2 linked regions of the Caenorhabditis elegans genome follow. The protein of the gene in region 1 purifies or fractionates together with the protein of each later gene. This does not show direct contact. Each region holds a gene or a part of one and is shown on either strand. Other genes may lie near its edges.

Region 1 (5,320 bases):
AAGCGTTTTCCGACCAAAATCAGCCCCTAGAGCGTCTATCCAAAGTTGGCGTTCCTCTTCTTTTGTCGGTATTCGGGTTACTTTCGTGGATGACTGTAGCATGTCGCAGAATTGACATCGTTTATATTGGGACATCCAGAAAACTATCATAAAATTATATTTTTGTATCAGTTAGTTTTTTTCAATATACTTCACACAGTTCAGAACCAGCTTAATTGTGAAATGTTTTAATGTCCTACTGCGAAAATTTTATTACTTAAAAGTTATCAAATCTCAATAACGAAAAGGTTCTACAATAATACAAACATTTAATTTTCAGAGTTCCGGAAACATTGATTCGACGCGCTCCGGAGGATCCTCGAGGACAATTTATTTTATTTTATTTTTTTCCAAAAAATGTGTTTTTTTAATTTTTTTTTTTCAAAAATGAACAATTTTAATGTTAAATTTATTTCTTGGCGTAAATAAGAGTCTCAATGAGACTCTCAGAAGAAAATTGATAAATATTATTAATGATATAATAATAATCTTGTTGATTCGTTCTATCTCCAGACGATTTTCCTCGTCTCCAGTCGATTTTGCGCTGAAAATGGGATATTTAATGGAATTGTTTTTGTTTTTATTAATAAATAGGAATAAATTTACGAAAATCACAAAATTTTCAATAAAAAACACCAAAAAAATGAGAAAAAATGAGAAAAATCGACGAAAATCGGTATAAAATCAAATAAAAATAGAAGGAAAATATTCAGCTCGTAAACCCACACGTGCGGCACGGATTCGTGGGCGGGGCGTCTCTGGCGGGAAAATTTTGCGTTTGAAAACTCACATATAGGCATCCAATGGATTTTCGGATTTTAAAAATTAATATAAAATCAGGGAAATTTTTTTAAATTTTTTCACATCGATATTCGGTATCAGGGGCAAAATTAGAGTCAGAAACATATATTTCCCCATAAACTCTACTCCCCCTTTAAAGTTTTTTTTGAAAAAAAAACAAATAAACAATTGAATTTTCTCATCTTAAAAAATGTCTAAACTCAATTTTAAAAGCAAATTTCAATTTGACATAAGTTTCAGACATTTTAAAAATCATACATTTTTTGGTCGAATTTTTTGGTTGCACCATGGCTTAGGACTAGGCTTAGGCTTAGGCTTTGACTTCGGCTCAGGTTTGAGCATAGGCTTAGTCTTAGGCTTAATCTTATGCTTGGCCTTAGGACTAGGCTTGAGCTTGGGCTTAAGGTTAGAGTTAGGGTTAGGGTTAGGCTTAGGCTTAAGCGTAAGCTTAGGATTAGGCTTAGGCCTTGAAGTCGGGCCTAGGCTTAGGCTTATCTGGAGAGGGGTGAAAACCAAAAAAAAAAGGAAAAACTACAAAAAATCTTGATAAAGGGAATTTTTCGAAGTCGGGCCAGAAAATCCCATAAATATTGGCCGAAAAAGGACCAAAAAAGACAAAAATTTTAATAATATGCCCATTATTTTTCAATTTTCCAGAAAAGTGAATTTTATCATTTTAAAAGTTATCCTCCAAAAAACCTTAAAATTGACTAAACTACGACATGCAAATAAGACGGGAAAAAATATTCCTAAAAATCAGAATTTTCACAGATTGGCGGGAATTGATTGATCATGATCAAAGCCTAAATATTTCTGCATTTCTTGGAGAATTTTTGAAGTGAGACCTTAAAAAATGTCTGATTTAGAGCAAATGAACCTAATTAACTAACTAAGAAATATAATTTTTTTCTGGAAAATGAAAAAATAAGGTTAATTTGTTATGTCGAATTGAAATTTCACGTTAAATTGATTATTGGAAAAATAAATTTGAAAACAAGAAAGGTCAGACGTGAAAAAAATGGAACATGGTTTTTCATATTGATTTGATAAAAATTTTCATAAAAATTTGATTTATTTCTTTCAATTTCTCAATGTAATACAACTATGCCTGCAAAAAAATCAAGTAAGCTATTCAAAAGTATTCAAGCTTTTTTTTTAAATTTAATTTTTATAAATTTTAAATTAAATTTAAAAATTGCAGAAGCACCCGTTGCAAAGAAGCGGCCCGCTTCTCGTGGCGGTAAGAAACCAAAAAAAGGTGGAAAAGCGAATAAAACAAAGACAAAGGCGACGAAAAGAAAAGCTCAAATGAAGAAAAAATGGACTAAAACGGCACAAAAGTAAGAGATTTTATATTATGGGAACACTAAATTTTGAGAATGCGTACAGTGCAAAATATTTGACGCGCAAAATATCTCGTAGCGAAAACTACAGTAACTCTTTAAATTACTACTGTAGCGCTTGTGTCGATTTACGGGCTCCATTTTCGAAGATATTTTCTCATTTTTTGCCAGCTTTAATATTTATTATTATCATTAATATTTTAATAAATCTTAATAAATGAACGATTTTAAAAATCGAGCCCGTAAATCAACACAAGAGCTACAGTAGTCATTTTAAGAATTGCTGTAGTTTTCGCTACGAGATATTTTGCGCGTCAAATATGTTGTGCAATACGCATGCTTATAGTTTTGTGCTTCCGTAATAACTGCTTTTTGCTACAGAAAACGGAAAGAACGAAAGAAAGCCGACAAAGCTAAGAAGAAAACAAAAAAGGATGCTGCTAAAAGAAAGAAAAAATCAAAGGATAAAAAGAAGAAGCAGAAAGGTTTTTTTTTTCAAAATTTGAACAAAATTTTACAAAAAAACAAAATTAATCTTGTTCAACTATAGGCCTAAGCCTGATCCTGATCCTGAGCCTAAGCCTAAGTCTAAGCCTAAGCCTAAGACTATGCCTAAGCTTAATACTAAGCCTAAACGCAAGCCTTAGCCTAAACCTAAAGCAAGTCCCAAGCCTAAACCCAAGCCTAAGCCTAGACCTATGCCTAAAAATTGCACATTGGTGGCGAAAAGTATATGCTTTTTTTTTGGTTTCTCGCTGATTTTTGAGTTTTTGCAAAAAAATAACACTAGGAACTCAGATTGTTGTGTACAAATTAAACCATGATTAAACATTAAACAGCGGCCGACACCTCGCGAGTCGATTATGACTCATTAGGGAACCGTCAGAAGGTGCCCATCGGACTTGCATTTGAGACCTATGCCATTCGATAGCCCATGTCTTAAAACGGTTACTCGTGAATTTTTAGCTGCGAATCTCCAGATTCAAGCTCACGGCGAGCTCTCGAAGATCCTGAAAATAGCACTGTAACGAAGAAGTTTAACGATCTAAAGAAGCAATTTCCCATTTTCTCTTTGGTAGCTCATATCTCCGCGGATAAATTTTTTACAGAAAAGTCATCAACTAAAAAGTTGTTGATATTGTTGTAAAGAACAAGTTTGTAGTTGAAAGTTTTTACCAAAAAAAGTGTTGTTTCAGATAAAATTATTAGAATAGTAGCAGTAGCAGCATTAAAATAGTAACAACAGTTGAACGCACTTCACGCGCTTCTATCTGAAACAACACTTTTTTTGGTAAAAACTTTCAACTACAAACTTGTTCTTTACAAAAAGTTCAACAACTTATTAGTTGATGACTTTTCTGTAAAAAATTTATCTGCCGAGATATGAGCTACCGAAGTGAAGTTGGAAAATTGGCCCTTCAAATCTTCGTTACAGTGCTATTTTCAGGATCTTCGAGAGCTCGCCGTGAGCTTGAATCTGGAGATTCGCAGCTAAAAATTCACGAGTAACCGTTTTAAGACATGGGCTATCGAATGACATAGGTTTCATATGCAAGTCCTATGGGCACCTTCTGACGGGCACCCTAGTCAGGAATGTGGAGTTTTTTGATAAAATTAAACAAATTTCTATTCGCGTTTTGAAATAATGATCAGTAAAGTTTTTGAAAACTTTTTTCGTTGTTCAAGTATAAAAAACATAACTACAATAGTAGTTATTTATAATTTATAATCAAAAAAAAATTTCAAAAATCATGTGTTTTCGAGTAGTGCTTGTTTGAACATATATGTATATATATAACTGGTCATTATTTCAAAAAGCGAATGCATACATGAAATATAAATTTGTTTGGGGACAATTTTTTCTACATTCTCGGGTTACTGGTTGAGTTACAGGGTCGGTGTCAAGAGAAATGTTAAAAATGCACTCACGAGGCGTCGGCCGCTTTATCTGTTGACCTAGATGATGTCGAAACATGACTTAACTTGTAGACAACAAGCTTTTCAACATTGTTTCATCTGAAAACGCAGAACATTTTCAGCACAAAAGAAAGCCGAGAAACCAAAACAACAACCAGCAAGCGAAGAAGAGGACGATGCTGGAAATGATAAAGAGGGTGGAATGAAGTTTTCTGGAATGTCATGTAAGTATGAATAAATGAACATATTTATTCAAACATTTATTTATTTATTTAATTATTTAATTATTTAATTATTTCTTCAGTGGATCAACTTCAAAACATACGGAAATCAGTTGCGGAGCTCACTAAAGACGAATTTTTGGAGTATATCAAGGTTAGAGCATATATATATGATTTCATATGAATATTTAATTTTCTTTCAGAACAACAGTGATCATCAAATCATGGAAGCTCAACACATGAGTAGTGCTGAAGGTCGAATGAAATTATTTAAGGATTCAGAACGGCCCACGTGCACATCTAGAGGCCCTTTTCAGTCGAATAGATTTGGTGCTTTGTTTTTGATTCCTGGACATCAATAAACTTTTTATTATTTAATTCATGGGTTATTATTTTATTTCTATTGAGTTAGTACAGATATTGTTGTCAGATTTGAAAACTATGATCGACAGAAAATGCTTTCAATTATCATTTTTATGAACTTGCGGGAGGCTAAGCTAAAGCCTAGGCATAAGCCTAATCCTAAGCCTAAGACTAAGCTTAAGCCTAAGCCTAATTGTAAGTTCTTAAAAATTGTTATTGTTAAAAAATTTTATAAATTTTAATTAATTGTTTCAAAATTATGTCTTTTCTATAAATTTTTATAATGTTGTAGTTTGTAGTCTACAGTCTACAAACTACAACTTTTTGTAGTTTGTAGTTTGTAGTGTCCCTGAGCCTTAATAAGAGAAACATCTGGAGGCAGGGAGGATATGGATTAAAAAGGGACACCCCGGGTGACAGCAGAGAGAGAGTAAGAGACGCAGACAGCAAAATATACATGGAAACAGATGTCACATGCACACATATTTGGTTGAGGCTCAGCTTGTTTTGTAGTTTGTAGTTTTAGCCTCAACCAATTTCCGAGTTGAATTTCAATGTTTGAATTGAAGTTTGTAGCTTTTTTTCAATTTGTTAAAGGTTTCGGCTGAGGCTCTCACATCAAATTTTGTAGTTTGT
Region 2 (4,394 bases), on another chromosome or scaffold:
GCTTGTACGCCAGGAATTTTCGATTCTTCGAATCCTCGTCCCCATCGTTTCCTCGTTCAGTCAACAGACTGCTTAACTCTTCCACGACATGACTAAAAATTTTTTGAGAATAATATTAGAAATACAACTTTTCACTTACTCAATTCGTGGGCATTTGCTTACATCGAACTCGCCAATTTTTTCGACATTCAGAGGAACAGCAACGTTTCCGGTCTTCGGATGAATACAGAATGGGGATTTGAGCAAGTGATTTGTGCCTGTAAAATGTGCATGTTTAGTATAAAATCAACGCAGTTTCATTAAAAAATCAATTGACTAGTTAGGAAACTATTTTTTTTTCGTTCAGATATTTTTAAATTTTTCGAAATCTGTGGGGCGGGAAATTCTAAAGAAAAACTCTTTTCGAAACAAAGAACATTTTCAGTAGCGTAATTTCCCAAGATTTCGGCATGTCTCCTTAAAGGATCAAGAATTTATTAAGATAGCTAAAAAGTTAATGTTTTTGGCAGTTTCCTCATTTATTTTCTATTTTTCAACAACAAAATTCAGGAAAATGAACGAGGAAGCAGCCGCAAAAATAAAAAATACTACCACGGAGTTTTTTTTGCACGCCGAGACCCATCTGAATCAATCCGTGTGACTGCATGTCATGCATGTCAATGCATGTCAAAATCTGGTGAATTTACTATATTATTTTGAAATAAGATGATTTCTTTTTGATTTTGAAATTATTTTCTAGGTATTTAACAAAAAACTATTCACCTGTAGTTACATTTGCATCAAGACGTGGATAACATCGTTGAAGAACAAAGTAGAGAAGAACCTTTTTCGGTCGCGACCTTGCATTGTCTGAAAATTAATTTATCCATTTTCTGATTATTATCTCAAAGCTTCCACTTACAAAATCGAGAAGTCCGTCATTTTGAGAAAGCGTTTTGCGATAGTCGTTATCAAAAAGCCCACGAAGCATGTGCCAGCGTTCTTGTGGAGTTTTGAAAGACTCGGATATTCTACGCAAGTCATCTCTGCCGAATTCGGACATATACTGGTAATCTATGATAAAACGATCATTATCCAGCCATCCCTGTTCATAGATCATTTTCTCGAAAACTCCATCTTTCAATGCAACATTAAAAGCGTCACGCACAGTCGGCGGAACTCTCGTCAATTTGGCCCGACCTTCAGTCACCTCGCATTGACCATTTTTCTGTGAAAAAAAATTATTTTTTAAAAACAGACAAATCTTCTAACCTTGAATAAATTGAGTCTAGTCGCAATTGCAGACCTTTGATTGTTGTTCAGCATCCTCGCTTTCTTGTCGCCGACCCAACAATGTACTCCACGTCTACCAGAAAAGACCCACATTCGTGCTTTGAAATTGAACATTTCTTCCAGTTGGAAGTCTAAGATTCTGACAGCGAGAACCATGAATTTCCAGCATTTTGGGCAGACGGTGGCATCTCTAAAAATTAGATATTCGAAAATTGGATTACAGATCCTCTTAATAACGCACTTGCAACAATTACGAACTGGATCGTAGTCGGTCAAATCGATATCAAAAACCAATTCTCGTTCCACAGCTTGGTAATCTGTATATCTCTTGTTGTTAATTGGCTCGTGATTGTAGACAGCTCCAATATCAAGTTTTTCAGGATTAGTACTTGAAAGTGCTTTGACAAATGAGTGTTCGTCATTGTAACTACGATATCTGATATGAACATCATCTGCCAGGATGAATGTGAATTCTCGGCGGTTGAAATAGTCTCCGTAATCTGCAAAATTCAAATAACGTTAAGAAAATCGAAAGCGAAACTCACTCTGTCCGTAGCAGAGCCATTTTGTGAATGGTTTGACTGGGAAGAAGTTTTTGTAGTATATTGGCAAATCTTGTGGGAGTCTGATTGAGTTATAAGACATTTCTGAAAATTGAAAAAGTATAAATATTTGGTTCAAGCTAGAAAGTGTAAAAAATTATCAAAAACACGCACATATGGCCCGCTCTCATTATCACTCCGTCAAACTTATCACTCATTTGCATGCTTCATCACAGTGTGTGTTTTGTCGTAAGATTCAGTGTGTTGTCTGCAACACCGACCGCGCATCTTTGAATTTCACGAATCATTTTCTCATTTTTAATCAAGTTATTAATTTGCGTTTTCCTCGCTCTATTATTGTTTTTTTCCGTAAATTAGTTATTTAAAGGTAAAATGAGATCATCGTTTGTGTCTAAAAGTGCAGCTGCCATCAAAACCCAAAAACCAACAGGATCACTCAAAACAAAGGTTATTTATTTGTTGAAACCTATTTTCAGTCGACTAAAATCGAATTTTCAGCTGAACAATGGATTGAAAGTTGTTTCTCAAGAAAATAATGGAGCGATTAGTCAATTGGTGAGTCGCATTCGAGTAATAAAGCTATTTGCGATTTCCTAGATCCTCGCTTTTCGTGCTGGTTCTCGTTATGAAAAGGTCACTCAGCCTGGACTTGTGCATCACGTTCGAAACTTTGTTGGAAGAGATGCTCAATCTTATCCAGGGTTGCAGCTTGTTTGGTCATCAGCCGCCAGTGGAGCCAATTTGGTTAATTCTTTCTCTTTAAATTGCCATTTTCATTTTAATTTCAGAACTCTTTCGCTACCCGTGATATTTTCGGTGTTCAAATAAGTGTTGCTCGCGATCAAGCTGCTTACGCTCTCTCAATCCTCGGCCACGTTGCTGCCAAACCAGCTTTTAAACCATGGGAACTAGAGGATGTTACTCCAACAATTCTTGCTGATTTATCACAGAAAACTCCATATGGAATTGTGTTTGAGGATATTCATCGCGCTGCCTTCCGCAATGATTCCCTCTCGTTTTCACTGTACTCCTCCAAAGGACAAGTTGGCGCTTACAAATCCCAGGAACTTGCCAAGTTCGCTGCCAAGCATTTTGTATCCGGAAATGCCGTTCTCGTTGGAATTAATGTCGATGGGTCTATTTTGAAAAGTTATGCCGAGGAGTGTGGTGTCGTACCAGACGGGCATATCATCACCAATCAGGGGTCACCTTTCAGGGTGAGAAAAATTTAAAAAAAAATTTTATTATGTTGAATAAATATTGAATAAAAAATCATTTTAGGGTGGAGACTATCGCCGTTTCGCTCGTGGAAATGATGTTCATATAATGGTTGCTGGAGATGGAGCAGCGGTTGGAGATCTGAAATTTTTGGCTGCCCAGGCAGTTTTTCTCGCTCACATCGGACGTGCTTCTCCACTGAAATTTGCATCACTTCCAGGATCAACCAGTGGACTCGCTCTTGCGAATCTTCCGGAAGGAGTTACTGGAAGTGCATTCCAGGCACCATATGATGGAAGTGGCCTTGTTGGTGTTTATTTGCTCGCAACCGGAGCTAATGCAGATTCTGCTGTTCGAGCAACTGTCAAGGTGTTGAGAACTACTCAAGTTCAGGATATTGAAGGTATAGTCGAGATTAGCCCTTGGTTTTTAAAATAAAATATTTTTCAGGCTGCAAGCGCCGTGCTATCGCCGATATCTTGTTCAACGCTGAAAACAACGTCTACTCTGCCTACGATTTGGCGACAAACGCCCTCTACAACGGTCCAGAACAGTCGGAATTGATTGCGGAAATTCAAAAAATTCAAGAAAGTGATGTGCAGAAGTACACCAAAGCCGCGTTCGAACGTCTCGCCATCTCTGCATATGGAAATTACGGAAGAATCCCATATGCCGACGAGCTTTAATTTAAATTCGTTTTTGTCAACTTTTTGTGCTAATTTTCGTTCTCTTAAAAACATCAAATCGTTTACTACCATAGACTCAGAGTGAAGCTATGAAATGGAAAAGAGCTCAGTTTTTAGCGGGAAGATGTACAGTAAAATACAAATAGAATTGCACGAGAATGACAATAGCCAAGACAGAGAGGAGCTTGGGAACAGAAACTGAATAAGACGGGATGGGGAGAAACCGGGATGATGGACAGACAGAAGAACGACCAGAACCCAATGAGGATATTCTAGATAAAAATAATAATGTACAGAGATTGAAGGCGGCGTGGGGAGCTTTAGAGAAGAATAACTTTGATTTCAGTGATTCCTGAACAGCAACTAACACAGATTTGGGTGAAAAGTGGTTTAAATTGTATGAGAAGAAAGAAGAGGAGCGGTGCTTACCCGATAGAAAATAACAGAAATGAAAGAAAACTTTTATAGGATTCAGGACAAAGCCCTAGTACTCCATTGGAAGAGCATAATCATCAAAATCGACATTGACAAAGTCTTGAACCTCTTCATCTGCCTCAACGTCTCCTTCATCTTCTTCCTCGACATCTGACACATAACTTGGAACAAATGTTGGAGAATTCGAGGAATGTGCTAGATCGGCAGGAATTGATTTCGG

Evidence for each region.
Region 2: the proteins of Y87G2A.20 (region 1) and ucr-2.3 fractionate together in Caenorhabditis elegans (co-fractionation; one large-scale study listed by BioGRID). This does not show direct contact.

What each region holds. Positions count from the first base shown.
Region 1 is NC_003279.8:13,528,069-13,533,388, reverse strand, and holds Y87G2A.20 (F-box domain-containing protein), read left to right. Parts: upstream 1-1,926; 5' UTR 1,927-1,944; coding exon 1,945-1,963; intron 1,964-2,041; coding exon 2,042-2,180; intron 2,181-2,564; coding exon 2,565-2,668; intron 2,669-4,222; coding exon 4,223-4,324; intron 4,325-4,404; coding exon 4,405-4,475; intron 4,476-4,524; coding exon 4,525-4,683; 3' UTR 4,684-4,699; downstream 4,700-5,320.
Region 2 is NC_003281.10:877,658-882,051, forward strand, and holds ucr-2.3 (Peptidase M16 N-terminal domain-containing protein), read left to right. Parts: upstream 1-2,202; 5' UTR 2,203-2,207; coding exon 2,208-2,282; intron 2,283-2,333; coding exon 2,334-2,390; intron 2,391-2,432; coding exon 2,433-2,579; intron 2,580-2,623; coding exon 2,624-3,052; intron 3,053-3,116; coding exon 3,117-3,456; intron 3,457-3,503; coding exon 3,504-3,739; 3' UTR 3,740-3,801; downstream 3,802-4,394. Other genes in the region: T24C4.5 (DNA primase), read right to left, coding at 769-849, 902-1,207, 1,252-1,462, 1,514-1,772, 1,818-1,917; zer-1 (Zyg eleven-related protein 1), read right to left, coding at 4,224-4,394.